3 linked regions of the Cricetulus griseus genome follow. The protein of the gene in region 1 purifies or fractionates together with the protein of each later gene. This does not show direct contact. Links are inferred from orthologs where the notes say so. Each region holds a gene or a part of one and is shown on either strand. Other genes may lie near its edges.

What was found. Proteins that work in one complex are often made in the same cells at the same time.
Region 2: the proteins of Ift88 (region 1) and Ift46 purify together in Homo sapiens (affinity purification with mass spectrometry; 3 studies listed by BioGRID and IntAct, with this or other methods). This does not show direct contact. The link is inferred for Cricetulus griseus from reciprocal best matches to the Homo sapiens genes IFT88 and IFT46.
Region 3: the proteins of Ift88 (region 1) and Hspb11 purify together in Homo sapiens (affinity purification with mass spectrometry; 3 studies listed by BioGRID and IntAct, with this or other methods). This does not show direct contact. The link is inferred for Cricetulus griseus from reciprocal best matches to the Homo sapiens genes IFT88 and IFT25.

The regions. Positions count from the first base shown.
Region 1 is NW_023276807.1:212,488,914-212,494,396, reverse strand, and holds the start of Ift88 (intraflagellar transport protein 88 homolog), read right to left. Parts: upstream 3,724-5,483; 5' UTR 3,570-3,723; intron 1-3,569. UniProt on the Homo sapiens protein: Positively regulates primary cilium biogenesis. Also involved in autophagy since it is required for trafficking of ATG16L and the expansion of the autophagic compartment.
Region 2 is NC_048597.1:156,455,796-156,460,059, forward strand, and holds part of Ift46 (intraflagellar transport protein 46 homolog), read left to right. Parts: intron 1-1,557; coding exon 1,558-1,691; exon of another isoform or gene 1,692-2,409; coding exon of another isoform or gene 2,410-2,444; intron 2,445-4,264. UniProt on the Homo sapiens protein: Forms part of a complex involved in intraflagellar transport (IFT), the bi-directional movement of particles required for the assembly, maintenance and functioning of primary cilia. May play a role in chondrocyte maturation and skeletogenesis.
Region 3 is NC_048595.1:42,542,123-42,546,386, forward strand, and holds part of Hspb11 (intraflagellar transport protein 25 homolog), read right to left. Parts: intron 3,927-4,264; coding exon 3,820-3,926; intron 2,334-3,819; coding exon 2,265-2,333; intron 145-2,264; coding exon 101-144; intron 1-100. UniProt on the Homo sapiens protein: Component of the IFT complex B required for sonic hedgehog/SHH signaling.

The DNA.
Region 1 (5,483 bases):
TCAAGACTGTTTCCTCTAAACTGCCCTGAAAGGCATGGTGGCAATCTAAGGAAGATGATGCTGAAGGCTCAGAAGTTCAAGGCCAGTCTCAGCTACATAGCAAGTTAGAAGCTAGCTTATATCTCAGTAAGTAAAGTGTATCATTCATTGGGTTTCAGTATATTCAAAGGGTGTACAGCCGTCACTGCTATCTAACTCCAGAACATTTTATTCATCCTATAAAAACAAAATCCTGAGGCTCTTCAGCAATTATTCCCCATTCCTCCTTTGCCCAGACCCTGAAAGCCACTAAACAATTGCCTGCCTTTATGGATGAGCCAATTCCAGACATTTCACGTGCATGAAACCATACAGTATGTAGCAGTTATGTCTAGATTCTTTTATTTAGCATGTTTTCAGGGTTCAGGATACAGTTTCACTATACTGCATTCTTTTTCATGGCTCAGTAATAAATTTACAGCATTTGGCTTCTCTATTCATTAGTTAATGAACAATGGGTTGGCTCTACTTTTGAGCTTTTATGAATAACCCTGTGATGAATGTTTACATACAAGTTTTTGCATGAATGCACTTTCTTTTTAAGTTTATGTGTCTGTGTTGGGAACTGGCCAACATGGGTGCTGGAAACTGAACTCAGGTCCTATGGGAAGGCATCAAGTGCTTGTAACTACAGAGCCATCATCTCTCAGCCCTTGCTGAATGCATGCCCAATTCTACTGGGTATATACCTAGGTTTGGAATTGCTGGGTCACACAGGAACTCTGTGTTAGCTTCTGGAATAGCTGCCGATTTTCTGAGCAGAGTGATAAAATATTACAACATCCTAATCAATGCCACTTGGGATGTTAATCATTCCCTTTTCCATTGTATACACACTGTATAGGCTACCTGCCCATTAGTCACGTAGCAGCTATCTCAGTTATCAGGTTAACTGTTGTGGTGTTACAGTTCTTGTTATTTTCTTTATCATTGGTCCGAAAGCACAAGAACAGAGCTATTGGCAAGTCAAACATGCCGAAGAAAAGGCAGGAAGTATTTTCTTCTATTTTTGGTTGTGAGCCTAGCCTTTAAAAGCTGAGCCATCTCTTCAGCCCAGGAAGTATTTTCTTTAAGTACTGAAATACTTTATTAAAGAAGTGTGAACACAGAACAGCAAAAAAAAAAAAAAAATTAGAGAAACAGAATATATATTACTTTCATCACAGTATGTTATTATAATTTATATTTTATTATTACTGTTAATCTCTTACAGTGACTAATTTATAATTTAAATTTTATCATAGGCATATATGTATATGAAAAAACTAAAAACAGCAAGGCCTGGCATGGTGGCCCACACCTTTGATCCCAGCATTCAGAAGGTAAAGGCAGATGGATCTCTGTGAATTCAAGGCCAGCCTGGTCTACAGATTGAGTTCCAGGACAGCCAGGGCTGTTATACAGGGTACATTGTCCTGAAAAAAAAAAAGTGCTTGAAGAGTTCAGTGTGATATGTGGGGTCTTTGACTACATCCCCTACAGATAAGAGGGAAATACTGTGCTAAACCAGTGGCTCTCAAACCTGAGCATGCATCAGAAGCTTAAAAGTTGTTCATTTCAGACAGCTGCTCCCCAGCCATCTATGCTTCCAATTCAAGAAATCTTGAGTGAAGGAGATCCTTTGATCTCTCAAAATGTAAATTTATTTATTTATTTATTTTTAGGGTGGGGGATTGTTTCTGACATAGGGTCTTATGTAGCCTACACTGGTCTTGAACTCATTACATAGCCAAGTCTGGCCTTGAACTCCTGCTTCTACCTCCCAAGAGCTGGGGTGACAGATATGAGTTATTCCATCCAGCCAGAACATGAATTTCTTTGTGTGGGTATGGTTGCTCCTGCATGTGTGTGTACACACAAGCATGTGTGTGCCTGTGGTGGCAAGAGGTCACCCTAGGGTGTCATCCTGTTCAGGCACTGCCTACCCTTGTTTTTGGAGACAAGATCTCTCACTGGGACATGGAGCTCATATTTAGCTAGTCTAGCTGACCAGTGAGCAGCACAAATCCTCTTGTCTTCACTCTTCCAAAGCTGAGATTATAAGCACACACCAGCCACTACACAACAGGTTCTCATCCTTTTGCAGCAAGCACTTTACCCACTGAGCCATCTCTCAAGCCCTAGATTCCAAACAAGTTCCCAAGTGGTGCTGATGCTGTTGGCCCAGGGACCATACTTTCAGAATCACATGCTGAAGAACTTTCTGCTTACAAACTCTTTTGATGTCAATTTAGTTTATCTGTAAGTCTCTGAAAAGATCAGCTTTTAGAACGAGACTTTTCTTCTGGTCACAAGCAGATTTAATACACACACACACACACACACACACACACACACACACACCCACCCACCCACCCACCCCTGGGAAACATCACAGATAGCTGAACAGACCAATAGTGGAAGATTTAAAGATGTGGAAGACTAGAAAAGATTTAAGTTAATTAATTACTCTTTACTAACAATCATGAGTGGCTAATGAATAGTACAACTCAGGGTTTCTAAATTCTCCATGGTCTTTCAAAAATAACGTGGTATACTGTCATCTCAATATTGCCAGTGAAACCATTTTACATGGGAAGTTCTTTCTTTTTATTTACTTCTACTGTGATAGACAGTCCACAGTCAAAGTGTCTATGGTGGTTTCGCTAAAGCGCATAACCAGAGTAGAAAATAAAAAGTCTATAAAAAGGGAAAGTAGTGCTGGGGTGGTGGCTAACCAGCACTTGGGAGGCAGAGGCAGGCGGATCTCTGTGAGTTCGAGGCCAGCCTGGTCTACAGGATAGGTCCACAGGAGTGCCAGGAAAGCCAGGGCTGTTACAAGGAGAAACCCTGTCTCAAAAAACAAAACAAAATAACAACAACAAAGTGAAATTTTATGATTAGAAAAAAATCTTGGAAAAACAGTACTCAGCCATCTATATCTTTGCATCTTGGATTCAACCAACTGCAAATTGAAAATATTTGGGAGAAAGATTTATCTTTACTAAACACACACTTTATCTCCCCCCCCCCTTTTCTCTATTCCCTGAACAATTCGGCTTAACCATTATTTATGCATCAATGAATAGTCTAAGATGACGAAGTGGGAAAACGGTTTAGATACAATGCAAATACCATAACACCTTATATTCGTGAATGAGCACCTGGGAAGTTTGGTATCTCGGGAAAGTGGGTGTCTAGAACCAACCCTTAGGGGATATGTTTTTATCTTTGTGAGACTGTGCTTTATGCATTCTTTTCTGTACTTGTGCTTTCAGTCCTGATTACTAGGCAATTTCAAAGTTGACCGGATGCAAGTATTAGCAATACTCGCTGGGAAACTCTCAAAGTTTCACGGGTGCTGTGGCATCGCCAAGCCGCGTCACTTTGGCCCGGAGCGCTAACAAAGTGATGGCTACGGGAAGCGCATTCGCCGGAGCGGGGCTGGGCGCCCCAGCCCGCCTCCCTCGCGACCCCGCCGGTCGCTCACGCACCCGGCAGGCAGCAGGGCAGCAGGGCGGGCGGCCGCGAGGGCCGGGCCCTTCTCCTACCTCGCGCCGAGGGGAGCGGGCTGACCACGAGTGGGCACGGGGAAGACGCGACGCCTGAGCCTCCGCAGTCCAGAGCTGGACGCCCAGCCGTTGCCAGGCGCGAATCCAAGGAAGCCGCTCCCACAGTCCTCCGCGCCGCCTAGGCGAGGCCGGAAGCTCGGGACCGGAAGTGCAGGGTTGCCGGGAACTGCGGACTGCAGAGTGGGACGAGCGATTGCGGTTACCGAGCATGCTGTACCGATGTCTGGGAATTGCCACGTGAGCCGGGGTGATCACAGAAGGAAACCAAAGTCGTGTGGACCCCGAGGCACCCATCCCGAGAGCTGGCAAGCAGGGCGTGATGCCCGGGTGAATGAAATGTGTCCCGGAGCCACCATACACGACGTGGAAGGCTGTTTTCTGCGCCACATTACGTAGAAATTGTATTCATCACACGATAAATTGCCGGATGAGCCTATCGAGGTTCTTCCTAAATAAACTGAATCTGAAAAACTAAAGTAAAGGTAATGAGATAATGAGGCACACCTGTGATCCCATCACTTGGGAGGTGGCACCTGGACGATCGGGAATACAGGGCCAGCAGGGTGACACAAGACCCTGTCCTAACAGCAAAATAATGTTTCCCTCCGGAACAAAAGCTGGACATGTTGACTTGAAGTCCACTATAAAAGACCGAGGTTTCCTAAGCTTGAATTGCTCGGTTGTGTCAGGAAGTAATTGCATGTGTAGCATCCACCTTACCCGCCCACAGGACACTGGGAGGTTGGTTGTAGGGGACAAATTATTAGGTTGGTCAGGCTCCGGCTACGTGGTTTGCTTTGAAGATTAAAGCTCTTTGTCTCTGATCCAGGTGTTTTGCACCAGCATTCAGAAGACAACAGTGTTAAACTAATGTGTTAGCTTGCTAGTGGGATAAATCCTACAGTTATTGACAGCATCTGGCTACCGTGCTTCACTCAGAGCAAATAGTAAGTACTTGTTAAGGTAATTTGTGAACACCATAGAGCCCCCCCCTTTTTTTTTCAAGTTACTGCACTTTGATACAGAAAGAAAAAAAATAGAGTCACTGAATCTTTTTGTTTTTTTGAGACAGGGTTTCTCTGTGTATCCCTGGCTGTCCTGGAACTCGCTCTGTAGGCCAGGGTGGCCTCGAACGCACAGAGATTCACCTGCCTCTGCCTTCTGAGTGCTGGGATTAAAGGTGTGTGCCCCTAACCTCCAGCACTGAATCTTTTTTTTAATGACTGCACACCAGGGTGCCCAGACCTTGTCTGAGAAGAAGATATTATTATGTTTTGTTAAAATAAAAGTTCCTTGGGCAACAGATATTTTTGCCTGTTCACTTAATAATTTTAAACGAATTGTCAGAGTTTGTAATTAGTTACATATAAAGTGGGGTGAATGGGAAGCAGACAAGCATGAGTAATGGAGTAAAAGTGAGCTCCATATGTGAATATGGAGAACACTAGAGGAAAAGCATGTTGGATGGGCAGGGTTGAGCTTAGTTTGGAACACACTGTCAGGTGCCTATAGAACACTCAAGAAGAGATGTTGAGCAAGCAGTTGTATATGAAGATATAAAGCTCAGAGAAGAGGGCTGGGGATGTAGCTCAGTGTTAGAACACTTGCTTGGCATGTACAAAGCCCTGATTCGGATTCCCAGCATCACAATAAACAAGCTCAGAGAAGAGACCCCGTCTACAGATACATACTTGGGATTCATTCATTCCTAAAAAAAGATGGTTTGGAAGACTGTGAGTGACAGAGATGTATTTTAGGATAAGGGGATGTAGAAAGGCAAAAGAGAAAGGACAAGAGAAGGTAATGAGGATGGGTAAATATGAACAAAACAAATTATGTGAATGTGTGGAAAGGCTATAATGAACCCTGTTGTGTGTAAGCATATAGCAGTTC
Region 2 (4,264 bases), on another chromosome or scaffold:
AGACCAGGGCCTCAAACTCACAGAGATCTGCTCTGCTTCCCAAGTGCTGGATTAAAGACATATGCTACCATTTCCCACCAGCATGCATATATTTCTATGCAACATGTGTGTACCTTGTGTCCATGGAGGCTAGACCATGACATTGCATCCCCTGAAACTGGTATATATAGTTGTGAGCTGCCATGTGGGTGCTGGGAATCGAACCCAGATCTTTAACAATGCTCTTAACCACTGAGCTATCTCTCCAGACCCTAAAAGCTACTTTTAAAGGAGGCTAATTTACCACCTGGCAGGGAGGGCATGTTACAGGCTACAGGCCACAGAGACAAAAATAAGGACCCTGTCCCAACTGTCTCTGCAAGTGCAGACACCACCAGACCCTCTCATAGGGACTTAGGAGAGTAGGATGGAGCGTAGCCAGACAGAAACAAACAAACAAAAAGGTGTGCAGTGGTGGTGCACACCTTTGATCCCAGCACTCAGGAGACAGGTGGATCTCTGTGAGTTAAAGGCCAATAGGAGCTCCTCATCCTGGACTAGAATATGTATAGTCATTGCACTTAACTCACAGGGAGGAGTATTGTGGACGAACCAGACACCCTATGAAGGAGGTATCACTGAGCAAAAATGGGAAGTCCTTACTCTCCAGAGCTGTGTGTGTGAATCCAGGCTCAGGGTTGAGTATCTACTTTATTCTTGTGATATTTTACAGCCCTTACTCTGAGCATTTTTACAAATTAGATGCTAAGTTTCTCTATGAATACCATGAGCCTATAAAGTTTGTCTTCCCTACTTCATCTTTTCCTACTCCCTAAATAATCTCAAGTTGTTACCCCTTTTCCAGTATTTATTCTTTTAGTTATATTTGTGTATCTGTGCATGTGAGTACTGTACCCATGGAGGCCAGGAGAGATCAGACCCCCTGGAGCTGGCATTATAGGAGGGAGGTTGTGAGCTGTCTTTTGTAGGTGTTGGGAGCTAAATTCTGGTCCTCTGTAAGAGCAGTATGTGCTCTTAGCCACGGAGCTTTCTCTTCTACTTTCTATGATTTATTTTACCCTTAATTATGCATAAATGTGTGTAGGTCAGGCATGTGGGGAAGAGGAGTGTTGGTATGTGAATATGAATGCAGGTGCCTTCAGCATCTAGAAGGATCCCCTGAAATTGGAGCCCAGGCAGTTTTGAACCACCTGACATGGGTTCTGGGAATCAAATTTGGGTGCTCTTTAACTGCTGAACCATCTCTCCAGCCCCACCACCTTTTCCTAAATTTAGGGAGTGAGGCTTCTGGATAAAGTTTATGCAAAACTTCCAAAATCAAGTAAAGGTTCCTAACTATAAGTCGAGTCGAATTGTACCCTGTTTCTAGTAGAGAACTATGGTTGAAGAAAGTGGGGGTCTGCTTAGCAGGAGAAGGTTCTCAGGCCTTTAGGGATGGTGCCACCTTTCTAGTGACTAGGTGGCAGAGGTCTGGGCATTATGAGAAGAGTGCACAGTCAGGCTTAGGAATTAAGTTTCTCTTTATATAAACATTTCTTCCCTGCCTGCCCTGCCCAGGAGAAGAAGAAGCCCTCACAGTTGACACCGCAGCGGGGTTTCAGTGAAAACGATGATGACGATGATGATGACTCGTCTGAGACTGATTCTGATGACGACGATGATGATGAAGAGCATGGAGCACCTCTGGAAGGGTAGGAAGGACCCTGTGCCAAGGGCATTTTGTTCAGGAGGCAGTTTGAAGGACTAATTTGGGAATAGATGGCAGCATCTTTTGATATCCTCTACTTGGGTTTTCTCATATCTCAGGAGCCCAGCATTGTGAGTTTTCATTTCTTTCTGGCTCTATTGACTCATCTGCTCCTGTGATGTCACTTAAACTATCGGAATATTTGTGGGCTCAGCAAATACACGGGGTTAACCTAAATCATGGCCCCTGTCTTCCAGGAGCTCCCAGTTTGGGAAATAAGTACATTTGTGCATATGCCAAAGCATTTCTGTCTAGTGGGGCAAACTCCATGCACATAAGCGTTTCCATTTTAGGCTGAGATGCTTCCTGAACAAGAGAGAAGAGCTTCAGGGGCCTCACACTTGGGTGATGCTAAGTAAACAGCAACAAAAAACATTTTACTCTGTTGCAGCCCCATTGTCACAGTGCATCATGATTCACTCCTATAAGTTATAACCAACATGTATTCTGAATACCATCCATTTATACTGGGGATATAGCTCAGTGGTCACGTATTTACCTATATATGTGAGGCCCTGGGTTCAATCCCCAGAACTGAAAGAACAAAACAAAACAAACAAAAAAACATATAAAATACTGTTACTAGCCAAGTGTAATGGTACATACCCGAAGTCTCAGCTACTTGGAAGGCTGAACCAAGAGGATCTCTTGAATCCAGGAGCTTAAGGCCAACTTGGGAAACATAGCGAGGCTTCATCTTAAACAGAAAAGTATAACAAAAATTAATTTAAAAGTTAATTATATAAAACTACCAGTGAACTAAATGATGAAATAACCAATCAAAATTTTGTCTACTTGTTGAAAGTATATGATGTAGCCAAGTGGGTGGCACATGCCTTTAATCGTAGCACTCAGGAGGCAGAGGCAGGCAAATCTCTGAGTTCAAGGCTGGCCTGGTCTACATAGTGAATTCCAGGAGAGCCAGGGATATGTAGAGAGACCCTCTCTCAAAAAGCAAACAAAGAAGAAAGTATATTGTGGTGGGGGGACAGAGAGATGGCTCAGAGGTTAAGAGCACTTGTTACTCTTGCAGAGGACCCAGATTCGGATCTCAGCACCCACACGGTGGCTCACAGCCATCTGTGTCTCCAGTTCCAGCTGATCCAGTGCCCTCTTCTGATGCCTGCATATGATCTATATGCAGGCAAAGCAATCATACACAGAAAACATTTTTTTTTTAAAGTATATAATGTCTATCTGTACTAATAAAGGCCAGCGTATGAATCAGGGAAAGTGGCTCAGACCTGTAATCCCAGCATTCAGAAGACAGGCAGGAGGATTGATGCAAGTTTGAGGCCAGCCTGGTTACATAGTGAGACCCTGACATTTACAGAACTTCTGCTGTGTAGCATTAATCCTGCCCATTGTCAGAGCTTTACCCCAGGAAGCACAGCTTCCCCTGTTCCTCCTGTCTGTGTCTCTGGTGTACTGGCTTGCTTTCCAGATACTGGGCTTTCTCACTTGTTATCTAAAGACACCCCCCTGCCACCGCCCCTAATGCAGCCTCTTGATGACCTCCATTTTGAATATGCCTGTTTTCTTGGGCCCTAACTCAAGACACGACCTTCTCTTTCCCTCTTCATTTCCCTCCTGGTAACTGCCAGTATCCATAGCTAATGCCCTGTTGTTTTTCTCTCAAATTCTAATAAAATGGTTCTTAAGCAGCTTTTAAGTAAGATGTTGAATTTTAAAGTGTATTCATGCTGTGTTGTTCTGTATATGTGGGAAACACTGTCTCTGGAAGGAGGCTGTGCCAGAGACACAGAGAACAACTGTGGCAAGCCATAAGAGAAACAACTTTTACTATATGCATTATAAGTTACTTTGTTTGTTATGTAGCTCAGGCTAGAATGTGTAGTCCTCATACCTGAACCTCTTGAATGCTGGGATTACAGGCATGAACCATCATTTGTTATAGTTTATTATTATTTATATTTTTGGCCCTTGAGGGTTGTTGTTGTTGTTATTATTATTATTATTATTATTTGGTATGAGTGAGTGTGTGTGTGTGTGTGTGTGTGTGTGAGAGAGAGAGAGAGAGAGAGAGAGAGAGAGAGAATATGGAATATGGAGGACAGCTTAAGGGAGTTGGTTCCCCTTCTACCATATGGGTTTCAGGGATTGAATTTAGATCTTCAGGCTTGGTTGCAGGAGTTTTTACCCTCTGAGCCAAAACAAAATGTACAAAAAAGCGCTGGAACAATGGTTAGAAGTGCTTCCTGCTCTTCCAGAGGACCTGAGTTTGGTTCCCAGCAACTATGCCAGCTGGCTTAAAACCATCTGTTAACCCCACTTCCAGGGGATCCAGTGCCCTCTCCTGGCCTTTGCAGTGTGCATGCATGTGTGTGCACCGCCCCCCCACAATCTTTTTAAAAATGTATAGAATATATTTAGTGATGTTGGACACAGTGGCACAGACCTGTAATTCCAACACTCAGGGGGCTGAAACCAGAGTATTGCAGGCCTGTGACCTGCATGAGCTACATACACAAGAAGGCCCTATCTCAAAGAGTCCCA
Region 3 (4,264 bases), on another chromosome or scaffold:
CCATGAGGATATTCATCATGAATAATTCATACTAGGAAAGTTTAAAATCTAAATTGGGCTCACTGAAGAAATCTTATCTCTACAAAGTATGTATACTTACCACAATTTCTTCGTTTTGAAGCTGCCCCTCTGTGTGTATTAAATCTAAGACACAAATTTAATAGAAATAGATTAAGGTTCAAAAATATGAGGATAGCTACAGAAATTTGTGCCCAACAAAAAGTGATTATTTGGCAAACTATATGTTAAAGCCAGATTTAAAGGAATTACCATTATTTGGGGGTTGATTTGATATAAGACATTTGACTTTAAAAAATGAATGAGCTGTAAAATACCTCTAGTGAGTTTACAACAGAAATGCAAATGTAAATCATACTAAAGAAATATACAGCAGGAAACTGGTAAAATGCAGACTCCTTCCCCTTATTAATCGAGCTCCTAGTAATTTCAGACTTTACCCACAGGAAAATTTCACTGTGATGTAGAACAGCCTGTGACATGATCTCTTCTGGTACTCAAGTTTAGTAACATACTCCTGGAATAGTTTACTTAGCCAGGAGTAATTGTTCAGAAATGTGAACTATTTAGTTAATATAATAATATCTTTTGACATTCATTTGTACCAAATAATGTACAGAATTTCAAAAGCTACCCAGGACCAAAGGAGAAGACTTTGGGAAGTAAGATCCTGGAGGCTTTTTTCCTGCTCCTTAATGCTTTCCTTAGATAATAAAAAAACTATTATCCCTGCTTTCCTGTGCCTACTCCTCTGGTTATGCTCCCTAGCAGTGAATGTGTTCCACTTTGTAGCCCGGAATTGTGGTGTACACCAGAAATCCCAGTATTCAGGAGACTGAGGCAGAAGGACTGATTATAATAAATTCCAGACCAGCCTGGGCTACATGGAATAAAAACCTGTACAAAAAGTGGTGGTGGGAGGTGGAGGGTGGGGGTCCTCCAAGATGGCTCAGTGGTTAAGAGCACTGACTCTTCTTCTAGAGGACCTGGGTTCCCTTCCCAGAACCCACATGGTAACTCACAACTGTCTATAACTACAGTCCCAGGGGATCTGATGCCTACCTTCTGGCCTCTGTGGACACCAGGCATGGTGCACAGATATACATGCAAACAAAACATCCATATACATTAAATAAATTTGTGTTTTTTTTCTGGAATTTAATATGTTTATACTCTCTTTCTTACTTACATGTAAGTTAAGTTTATATTGTGGTAAGTAGACCACATGTCCACTTCCTGGTCTAACTACATGGACAGTACAATGCTAAAATAAGAAACCAACTATGAACTAGTCTCATTCATACTTTCCACATCACCTGCTGCTCTCACATTTAGGCCTTCCTGGGGTTCCATGTAATAAATTAGCTTACTTCATGATACTTTCCTTGGAAGGCACTAGGTTACAACCTAATCTGCTGTGTTCTAGAAGTTATGGCTGTCCCTCTGGCAATAAAAACTATTGATCTACATTTGCCTGGTTCACTAGGTTTATGTTTTCTTTTCTCACTATAGTTTTATGTGTTTTTATTCTACTGTTTTCATGGTATTTGCTAAGAAAAGGAGATAGACACATTATGTATGTTTGTACTTAAATGGAAGATAGTAATTTAGTTGATGATGTTTATCAAAAAAACTTTTTTTTTGTTTTGAAATAGGGACTCACTATGTCATGCTGGATGGCCTAGAAAGATGTATGTAGATCAAACTCAGAGATTCCCCCTGCCTCTACTTTCTGAATCTTGGGATTGAGGACATGTGCCACCATGCCCAGCTCAGTTTAAATAAACAGCATCATTAATCAGGAAAGAAAAGTACAAAATGAATATTTTTTGCTTATCATAAAAGCCTCAAATGTGTCATCTCTTTTTTTGATAACCTAAATTTTGAAAATGCTAATTTTTGCTTTGTTTTGTTTTTTCAAGACAGGGTTTCTCTGTATTGCTTTGGAGCCTGTCCTGGAGCTCGCTCTGTAGACCAGGCTGACTTCGAACTCATGGAGATCCAACTGCCTCTGCCTCCTGAGTATTGGTATTAAAGGCAGGCGCCACCAACGCCCAGCAAAAATGTTAATTGTTTTATAAACAGTACATGAAGACTACAAATGTGTGTTTTTCTAGGCCTTATCTGTGTTAAAGAATCATTAAAATAACCTTTTATTTACCAAAATGCAGTTGGACTGATATCACAGAGTCAGAGGCCAGCCATCTACTCCCTCATGCTCAGAAAAGTACTGGCATCATACACACCTTTTTCCACCCACTGCTCAAAATCGAATGGCTCTTTAGATGCAGTCTTTTCAATCCTCAAGGTCCGCACTGGCATTATAAACAGAATAAATAAATATTAATTAGCTTTTTAATTCTGTTTTGTTGTTTCTGTTTTTCTTTTCCCTACTACTTGACTGCCATAGATTGATGGGTACCACACAAAGTGCTTGGAACAGGAATAACACATCCTGGAAGCTATGACTGTTTTTCCCTAAGTCCCTATGGCAAAATGTAACACTGTCCAATGGCAATCTTGCCACTGTTTATCACTCAGAGCACAAATCTAATAGAGCTTTTCTGAATCTGGTTATTATCTGGAGTGTTTATATACTGGTTGTGATACTTCTGGTAGCCATGGTCCTAACCCTTTATGGAGAACATGCTGGGTCAGACGTCTTTGTTCATTCTCTCTTGGCTGAAGTCTTTATGAGAAAGGTATTACTAACCCACTTCCCTGATGAGGACACAGGTTTACAGAAGCTAGGCAAGGTGTCCAATGGACTAAAGCTGGGAAATGCAGAACAGGAGTTCATACATGAGGCTTGTCCACTCTAGGGCCTCCACAATTCATGACAGAAGAAGCTCCCCACATGACCCCCCAGCCATCCTTCCCCTTCTATTTCTTATTATGGAGGGGCTTGCTTCTATAGATTGCATCTCCTAGAACAACTAGCTTTCTTTGGAGCTGGCTAGTAGCAGGCACCAGAAGACTGTAGGGCAGAAAGTGAGCTGGATATTTTATTTACACTCTGCCCTGCTTCATGCCATGTCTTTGATAGTGGTCCTGTCCCTTCAAAACCATAAGGCTCCTGCTAGCCAGATCCCCCTGTACAGCCCCGAAATCTCCCTGGGCTCTGGTGACACTTTCCTCTCCTTGTCCCAGGACAGGACTCTCTCTGCTGTAGCTAGTTTCTGAGAGCTATTATCCCTTATTCATTCCTGCAGCTCAGGCCAGAATTTTATAAGTAGATCTATTAATAACGTCTCTTCATTTGAAACATCTGGGATCTATTCTGTTTCCTGCCATGATTCTGTCTGATACACTTTATCACAGACAGGACTTGATGTTCCAAAGGGAGATTCCATTCCTAATCCCCAGAAAATATCATTAGCAATAGAAGAATCAAAACTATCCAGTGGGAATAATAGGGGTTATCAGATTTACAGAAAGAATCTGAGAACTACAGGCTAAATGAACCCAGAATGAAGATGTCATAGGACCTAGCATTCTGGCAAGCCAGCTTCTTCTTACATCCTAATTGAATCTTCTGCCAAAGACTTTCACACAGTAAACTGCATGGAAATTATGATGTGCTTTGGAAGGGTTTCAAATTTACAGTTTAAGAGAGGCTAATTGTGCTGAAGACAGTTAACCCAATACTCTCCACCTTCCTTTTCAGCAATAAAACAGGGTCCCATGCTGTAAAAAAAAAAAAAAAAAAAACACAACTAGTTCTTTGCCAAAAGTTGACATGTGTCCTCTGTCTATGGAAAAACTCAAGAATAATAAAAGGTTAGTGTGTGATTGGCTTACCTAAGTAACTTTGGATCACGAGCTTTTCAATCTTCACGTGTTTGTGAAAACAAATAATGAACTCCTGGGGAAACATGCCTGTGGTGGTCCAGAAGGTTTCTGGATTCCTAATGTTAATTTTAAAGGAATAAAAGGAATAGACAGATATAAAAACTAACCATGATATTCTAATGAATAAATATTAAAAATATCTACTGTTTTATTTTCAAATCCCTTTCTAACTTAGTTCTACCTATGATCTCCCCAACTTTAGTACTTTTTTTAAACTACTGACAGATACCCTCTTCTAAAATGCTGAAACAAAACTGATGTCACTCCCACCTAAAAGCCTTCAGCAGCCCCCTACTGACTGTAAATCCAACCTCTATAGTTCCATCATTAAAGTATATTGTATAGTATAATATATTGTAAAGTATAAAGTTCCATTACTACATCATTCTATCAC